Linked DNA regions of Bombyx mori. The protein of the gene in region 2 purifies or fractionates together with the protein of the main gene of each other region. This does not show direct contact. Links are inferred from orthologs where the notes say so. Each region holds a gene or a part of one and is shown on either strand. Other genes may lie near its edges. The genes, in order: SWI/SNF-related matrix-associated actin-dependent regulator of chromatin subfamily B member 1-A and protein SSXT.

Evidence for each region.
Region 1: the proteins of protein SSXT (region 2) and SWI/SNF-related matrix-associated actin-dependent regulator of chromatin subfamily B member 1-A purify together in Homo sapiens (affinity purification with mass spectrometry; 9 studies listed by BioGRID and IntAct, counting the BioPlex papers as one, with this or other methods). This does not show direct contact. The link is inferred for Bombyx mori from reciprocal best matches to the Homo sapiens genes SS18 and SMARCB1.

The regions. Positions count from the first base shown.
Region 1 is NC_085122.1:12,051,162-12,055,543, reverse strand, and holds the start of SWI/SNF-related matrix-associated actin-dependent regulator of chromatin subfamily B member 1-A, read left to right. Parts: upstream 1-1,540; 5' UTR 1,541-1,715; coding exon 1,716-1,796; intron 1,797-2,864; coding exon 2,865-3,055; intron 3,056-3,510; coding exon 3,511-3,673; intron 3,674-3,964; coding exon 3,965-4,112; intron 4,113-4,382. Other genes in the region: putative tricarboxylate transport protein, mitochondrial, read right to left, coding at 1-190.
Region 2 is NC_085110.1:12,911,044-12,915,411, reverse strand, and holds protein SSXT, read right to left. Parts: upstream 3,063-4,368; 5' UTR 2,748-3,062; coding exon 2,526-2,747; intron 2,051-2,525; coding exon 938-2,050; 3' UTR 829-937; downstream 1-828. UniProt on the Homo sapiens protein: Appears to function synergistically with RBM14 as a transcriptional coactivator. Isoform 1 and isoform 2 function in nuclear receptor coactivation. Isoform 1 and isoform 2 function in general transcriptional coactivation.

The DNA.
Region 1 (4,382 bases), on a different chromosome or scaffold from region 2:
CCAATTGCAGTTGTGTTTTTACATATTCTGTTGGGAATGTAATACAAATTTCAATGCCTCCTGTAATTCCGCCGGCTACAACTCCCTTTAAGCCTACTGAACCCGAACCACCAGCCGCAGCCGCTGCACCTGTCTCCGACATCCACGGTCTGGAGAATGGGTTTTTGAATGTTCCTTGCCGTGAAGACATGGTCTCTTTTTTCGAGCACTTTTGAAATTCGCAACGACTGCGACGACACTCCCCTACGACATTTAATTTCAGACTAAAAATTTAGGTTATATTAGTTATATACAATCATACTCTATGCTAACAATATGTGTTTGTGTATAGTCTATGAACTAAATTACTTTTTGGCGGGAACGCGAGGAGTGAAGTTGTGTGATTTGTTTTATTTTGTCTATTTAGTGTTTCTTCAGGTTTAAATGTGTAATAACGGTGGTTTATTAACTGTTTAATATCTGTGAAAGTGCACAAATGTGGGAAAATGAAACAAAGCTGCTGGACGTAACTTCTCGGGTTCCTCCAAAAAGTCCACTGAAAAAATCTCAGTAAATGACCACCATTTTACTGCGATTATATTTCATCCCATATCATCTCATTTCATTAAATTCATCCCAGTTGATTAATGTCTCAAATTAATCATCTTCATTTCATTTCACTCCATATTATCATTTTTCATAAAATTAAGACTATAAAGTAAAATAAGACATGACTTAAAGGTCTTAGTTACCAGGTCATAAAATCTCTTAAAAAAAAAAAAATCAATTAAAATAGGACTTTTTGGCGGGAACGCGAGGAGTGAAGTTGTGTGATTTGTTTTATTTTGTCTATTTAGTGTTTCTTCAGGTTTAAATGTGTAATAACGGTGGTTTATTAACTGTTTAATATCTGTGAAAGTGCACAAATGTGGGAAAATGAAACAAAGCTGCTGGACGTAACTTCTCGGGTCCCTCCAAAAAGTCCATTGAAAAAATCTCAGTAAATGACCACCATTTTACTACGATTGTATTTCATCCCATATCATCTCATTTCATTAAATTTCATCCCAGTTGATTAATGTCTCAAATTAATCATCTTCATTTCATTTCACTCCATATTATCATTTTTCATAAAATTAAGAATATAAAGTAAAATAAGACATGACTTAAAGGTCTTAGATACCAGGTCATAAAATCTCTTAAAAAAAATCAAATAAAATGTTTTTTTATTTTATGACTTGGTAGCCTAGACCTTTAAGTCATTATCTTATTTTAATCTTCTTATTCTAATTTATATCTTATTATAATTTATATTCTTATTTTTATGAAAACTGATAATATGGAGTGAAATGAAATGAAATGAAATGAAGATGTCAAGAATGTCTCAAATTAATTTAAATTAATATTTGAGACATATATTAAAGGGATCAACTGGGATGAAATTAAAGGAAATAAGATGAGACGGGATGAAATATAATCTCAGTAAAATGATGGTCATTCACTGAGATTTTTTCAGTGGACTTTTGGGTGAATCCCAAGAAGTTACGTCCAGTAGCTTTCCAAAATAATATATGACTTAAAGGTGTACGTTACCAGGTCATAAAATTAAAAAAATAATTGGATACATATATACATATTCACAGAAACGATTTATAAATTTTACCCTTACCAAATTAACATTACAATTCTTGAAGTAAATGTAATTATTTTATCAAAGGAACAACACAACTACAAAAATGGCCTTACGTACGTACGGCGATAAGCCGATAAGTTTTCAAATCGAAGAAGGAGGAGACTTTTATTGTGTTGGCTCAGAGGTAAGTTCCATACATTTCTTGATTAAAAATACATCGAACTACTCGAAACATAATTTTAAAGATACGTTATTAAAAATTATTTCATTCACTAACGGAGCTAGTCTTTCTTTTGTCGAAGAACATCGTTCCTAACCTCAATCTGGTCTATTATACAAACTTGCCTTTTAGAATTATTCTTATTTCGATGAGGCTTGGTTTCCATTACTGTAAAGCAGACTATAGTTTATTGTCCATCAAAGTATAAGATAAAAAATAGAACAATAGGTCTATATCACCCTTATGAAAATGGAATACAAATTTTGGAGATAAAATAACTAAGGAATTTCTGTAGAAGGCAAAACTGAGCTGTAATAATTATGTTGCCCTTTAATGACAATTCTTTAAAACTCATTTTCTTAGCAATAATCGAGTAAGTAATCCAGTAAACAGATCCATATTTAACAAAATCCCAAATACATATACATGTACAATAACATCATTAGCTAAGAAACCTAAGATTTTAGTTAAAGAGATACAAATCATGAAAGTTTACCAGTCCATTTTAACTACTGGCTTAAGATACCATACTGTACTTTTTATCTTTTTTCTGTATCTAGTTGCATAATTCAGTGTTCATGTGAAGTTTCTCACTATAATCTTCTATTCTACAGTAGAACTTTCTAAAGCGCCATTATGAATTATATTGAATAAGTAAACGACAGTGATTGCTTGCAGTGCAAATTAAAACAAGTTGTGGCACCCAATGCTGTTTCTGCTCTTATTTTTTTAGATGAGCAATGATGTATTTTCTTCAGTGTTTCTGAATTGTATAAAAAAAGGTCTAATTTCATATTTATTATATTCATTTCATTATCATTTTTCATGGCATATTAACACTGTTCTAACTACTGTAAATTGTTATGACAAAAAATTTAAATGATTAAACAATAACAGTGGTTTTAATTAAAAGCAATGCAAAATTATATTGTGGTGTCGAAAACAGCAGTTTTAACTTGAGATTTCCAGATTTTGTATTTTGATTAGTCTTATGCCCGCTTAAAAATGCAAAAAAATTAACTATTGCCTTAGGTCGGGAATTACCTGCGCTTGTTCCGTGGGTCACTCTACAAGAAGTACCCTGGCATGTGCCGGCGTACCCTCACCAATGAAGAACGTAAGCGATTAATTGACAACGGTCTTGGTCCTCATGTGCTGTCCAGTTCAGTTTCACTGTTGAAGGCGTCAGAAGTTGAAGACATTATTGAAGGGAATGATGATAAGTACGTCATTATAAACATTTTGTGAACTATTGAAAGCGGTTAAAACCGACAATTGCTGTGTTAGCATAGACAGGTGAACGAGTTCATAATCCATCTGATGATAAGTGAAGCTACCTGAAGTAGTCAGTCGAAATATTAGACCTTTAAGTTTTGGTGAGCACCTGGCACTATTGAAGTCCACGAACGACATTAACCACTTACCATCAGAAGAATTGTATGTTTGTCTTATTTTAAGGACAATAAAAAAAAAAACAAAATGTGTGCATATCTTTCTTCTTCATCGCTCCCTCATTGCTGAGGATTGTGACTCTGTTTCAGCTGTGCCAGTCTCCATCGGTTCTGGTCAGTTGCTGTGTGCATATCAAGGAAATCTTAAATACTATGAATTGTATATGAAACAGCAGTTGTCCATTAAACTATTTACAGCTATGACACAGCTTTAAATTAATTTATAGATACAAAGCAGTGTCCGTCAGCCAAGAGTTGGCGACACCCCGTGAGAGCAAAAGCAAGAAGCCACACACTCCATCATGGCTGCCAGTCATGCCAAACTCTTCTCATTTGGATGCTGTACCCCAGGCTACTCCAATCAGCAGGAGTAGGGTGCATAATAAGAAGGTAAAATGGATGTTAAAGTCAAAACTTAAAGTCCAGTTGGGCTTCAGGTTCTGACTCCTAGGTTTATCTAGTTAATCATGTTTGACATGGGGCCACACTCTAAGGTCAACACAACACATTTAATTTAGCTTCTGATTCAGGATAGATAGATAAGATAGATAGAATATCTCAAAATCAGAGACACATCGTAAGATAAATAACAGATTTTGAAATGGAACATTGGAATTAATGTAATATACTATAGTTCTAAAGTATCATTATTAAAACTAGCATAAAATGAATACTTTTCAGGTGAGAACATTCCCACTGTGTTTCGATGACACAGACATGACTGCAATGCTGGAGAATGCTTCGCAAAAGCAGGTGCTTGTACCGATTCGATTGGACATGGAGATTGAGGGTCAAAAACTCAGGGATACATTTACATGGAATAAAAATGGTATGTTTAACTGCATTTGTTACCAATTCTGGTTGTTTATTCTCAATTTTTGATTTCAGAAAGTATTTGAATAATAGAATGTGTAATTGCTGTCTACCAAATTATAAATAGATTGGCTGTATTTACTGTGAATTGTATCGACTGTCAATTGAAAATATATAATAACATTTTCTTATATCTTTAACTATAACTATTCTTTATAAAGTTCTTTAATCATGCTTAATGAAAATTGTTGGTCTGCAGTAAGTGTTGAAGATCAGGAGGACCTTG
Region 2 (4,368 bases):
TTTTGCGGGTTTGATTTTTATTACACGATGTTATTCCTTCACCGTGGAAGTCAATCGTGAACATTTGTTGAGTACGTATTTCATTAGAAAAATTGGTACCCGCTTGCGGGATTCGAACACCGGTGCATCGCTACACACGAATGCACCGGACGTCTTATCCTTTAGGCCACGACGACTACAAATGACTTTCGGTTTGCCTAGAATCTCCAGGCCTACATGCAACTTCAGGTCCTTTGGGTTTTTTTATGTTTCATGGGGTGTACGTAATGTGAGATATTTGGTTCAGGTGATCCTACCATCTACTTTTTACTACCTACCATGACATTATATGAACTCCCAGCATAATTTTCCTGAAGAAGAGTTCTTGTTCAAATGTGGTTTGTTATGAGTCCTGAGCGGTAGTCTTGGCTACGCTGAGTTGGCATTAACGACGGTAACTTTACCCTCATGTGGGCCGTTATAAATCCTAGTTCAATAAAACCAACTTTGATAATGCAAAATTTTTTCTAATTAATAACTTTCAGTACTGTAACATATCTACAAATTATTCTAATTAATCCAATTCAATGACTGTTCCTTGATAGCATGCGATGGATTTAAAAATATAATTGTTACAAAAATCACAAGTCTTTAAATTAATGATGATGTAACATAGTGATGATCATTGATATCAAACAGCCCCAAATTTTTGCATTAAGTGAATTCAAAGAGCTGATAAAGTTATTTGATCAATTTTGATCCTTGTATTATTTCAATTGTTCATTTTAGTAGGATACTGTAACGAATTAGTTATTGTAGTATGTAAAATTTTTGAATTAAAACAAAATATCACTCACTATATTTTATTTTCAAATTATTAGAATGTAGAAGTACACTTTAATAGGTTTTGGGGTTTAAACCTAAGCATATTTATTATAAGGTTTTAAAAATATGCAAATCATTGCTGGGCAGGAGGTTGGAATCCATAACCTGGGTACGGTTGTGGATTACCAGGAGGTGGAGCACCAGGAGCGGGTGCTCGTGTGTAAGGATAAGGGGAGGGTGGATACTGTGCTGGTGGATATCCCTGTTGATATGCATGCGGTGGATACGCACCTCCAGCTGGTGGATAATTTTGAGGTGTTTGAGCATAGGAAGTAGGAGGTGGAGCAGTGGATACTGAAGGAGCTGGACTCCCAGGTTGCGAGGAAGGGTTTGAATAAGGTTGTGTAACAGGTGTATAAGGTGATGGTTGTGAAGGAGCCTGATATTGTTGTCCAGTAGGACCACTTGGTGTTTGTCCACCAGATGAGGCAGTTGTAAGGACACTACTTCCATGGGGACTAGTATTATAGGTTGGTGACTGGGCAGATGGTGATCCATAAGTGGAACTTGTAGGATTCTGTTGAGAATAATTGTTTGGGGGTTGAGGAGAACGGTTAGGCTGAGAAGTTGATGTTGAACTATATGCAGATGTTGGAGTTGTATTTGGAAATGGTTGTGACTGGTATGGTTGTGGTGGTTGAGCAGTTGAATTATAAGTACTTACACCAACATTAGAATAATTTGAGCCAGCTTGACCTGGAGGATATGTGGAATTTCCAGTGTATGGTGGTTGAGATGAGCCACGCACAGGATATGGAGCACCAGCTGAAACTGGGCTACCAGAAGGTGGTGCATAAGGTTGTTGAGACGAAGAAGGTGGATAGTTAGATCCTGGATGAGTAGATGGTGGATAGTTATTTGGAGTTGTTGTAATTGGTGGACCATAATTAGAGTTCGGAGGATAGCCTTGGGGTTGGGATGGATTAGGTGGAGCATATCCTTGATTATTAGAGCCATATCCCGTTTGTGGAGGGTACCCTCCAGGTGCATTCTGATACTGGCCTTGATATTGACCTTGACCATAAGGTCTTTGAGCATATGATTGAGTTGGTCTTGTTGGTGTTGAACTAACACTTGAAGGTTGTCTGTAGGCTTGTTGACCACCAGCAGATGCATCAGTTGCATTGGTTGGGGGATTTATAGGTGGAGATTGAGATACATTTCCGGTGGCTAATTGATGAGGAGGCTGAAAGTAAAAAAAACAACTAATTCTATATATTCTTTCAGTACAAAATAACTTTTAAGTAGAATATCTCATCAGATAAGCCCTTTGATGAACCAAACCATATAATCATGGAATGGAACAGGCTGCCAGAAGTTGTATCAGCACCTAAATTGAACTACTTTGTGAACAAGCTAGACTAATTATCCTAATTTCAAGATACACAAATCATCTCTAGTGTTTAACATAATGAAAATTAATAGATTATTTTGCTTTATTTGATTCCTTTCTGTCACTTTCTCTCAACTAATCAGAATTTTTCCATTTCAAACAAACATAAATTTTATTGTTTTAAATAATGTCTCCACTGAAAATAAAGTCCAAAAATCCACGTTCATTCCGGTTTGAAGGGTGACGCCTTCGTTATGTTAAAGGAGTCCGCTAAACACCAGGTTGGCCATGCCATGTATGTCTTAATGAAGTAATAAAAAAATGTTACCGGTAAAATGCTCTGTATATTTTGGTTAGCGTCAGCTACAGATGCGAGATAAACCAAGTTCCTGTGCAGTATTTGCTGATATTGGTGACATTCCATTATTTGCCCTTTTGCTTGGTATTCTTGTATTGTTTGTATTAGATGAGCATTTTCATCCAACATTTTTTGTATTTGTGCCGGACTTAAAGGAGGACGATTTCCTCGTGCCGCAAACGCTACAGACATTGTGTAATTTAAAATATTGCTATTATTCCTCTATTACATAGCACTTCAGGTAGAAAATTCATAGATTTTTAATTTACTTGATTTTATTTTTTGTTTGATTTGTTCAGAAATTGGACAAACCAAAGAGTTTAATAGCAGAGTAGGGGCAGAGGGAACATAGGCTATACGAAAGTTAGATGCAAAAGCTAAAGCACTGAAAAATAAAATAAATCATAACGCAAGAATTATCTTTATTTTTGATTGAAATTGTATAAAGAGAATTGAATAAAATAAACTAATTAAATTAATTTGTCGGCTAAATAGGAGTAATTTGCTGAGACTTTTAGAAAAGCTACTTGTGGTAGGGCGTGTTTTGAGTCCGTACGAGTTAGTAACATTATTCTTTAATGTCGTAAGATTCATTCTATATACTATCATTGTGTAAAATTGCACAAATGCTTATTACGGAAAACAAATCGAAAGATGAAGTTTGTCGGGTTCTACAAAAAAACCATGTGACAATTTATTTAGTAACTAAATTTAGAACAGTGTAATCAGAAGCTTCTAAATTTGCTTCTGAATTCAGTCGACTAAATTTAGCCAGTGTAATAAGCCTTTAACCTTTGTCTCAAAATCAATTTCATTTCATTCACAATTTCGTCTTTTTTTCTCTCCTAACTATTCACTGGGATATTAAGAGGCTATTCCAGCTACACCCGGACGGGTAAGTGAGCTCCCGAACTCATCGTCGTAATCGACGAGCTCTGTGACCGATGCTTCAGGGTCCTAAAAGTACCGAGAGTCAATCCGGGGGATCCGAAAAGACATATTTCGGGCAACGGCGCCTTGCGTTGCCCAGTCGCGGTCGGATAAGTAATTAGCGGCGGCCACGATAAGAGGGTTATCGGATCGCCCCGCTTTGACGAAGTAGCGTTCTGGCGCTTCCGTAAGATGCTTACGAATCGGTATTAGATTCAGGTCATCGTGAAGATCTACGTTCCTCATATGCTACGGTTCTCTGACGGCTATCCTTAAGAAACGGGGTTTTATTACATGGAAAGGGTTAATGTGTGTACGGGCCGCGTGAGCAAACACTACACTTGCATAGGTCGTGACAGAACGTATGCAAGTTTTGTAGAGTAATACTTTGTTATGAAGGCACAATTTTTACTTCGCTTGCAGGTCATGGGGTAGAAGAACGCGGGTCGGTCGCGTACTGACTTAATGTGGGACCCGAATGTCATCCCCCTGTCGAAAGTGACGCTTTAGTAGTTAGCTTTCGAAGTCCACGGTATGGGCTGGCCAAGGATTTTAATAGCGGAAATGAAGTTACCGCGCCTAATTGGTGATAAGATACTAGCAGTAGTCTCGGGAGGACGACCCCTTTTGGAGAGCACGGCTGTGATTTTTGTGTGGTTGATATCAATGCACCAATGTGCCACTTCCGGAACCACTATCCTAAATTGGTGGCCACGATTTGGAGTTTACTATGCATGAACGACATCTTCCTACTCGTGTAAATCGGGCGGGCGACCGAGGTGTATCGTCAATAAACAGGCTAAACAGTAGCGGGGAGAGAACGGAGCCTTACGGGACTCCGGCCGAGATATGTCGCGGGAGAGAGCGAGTTTCCTCGACTCGA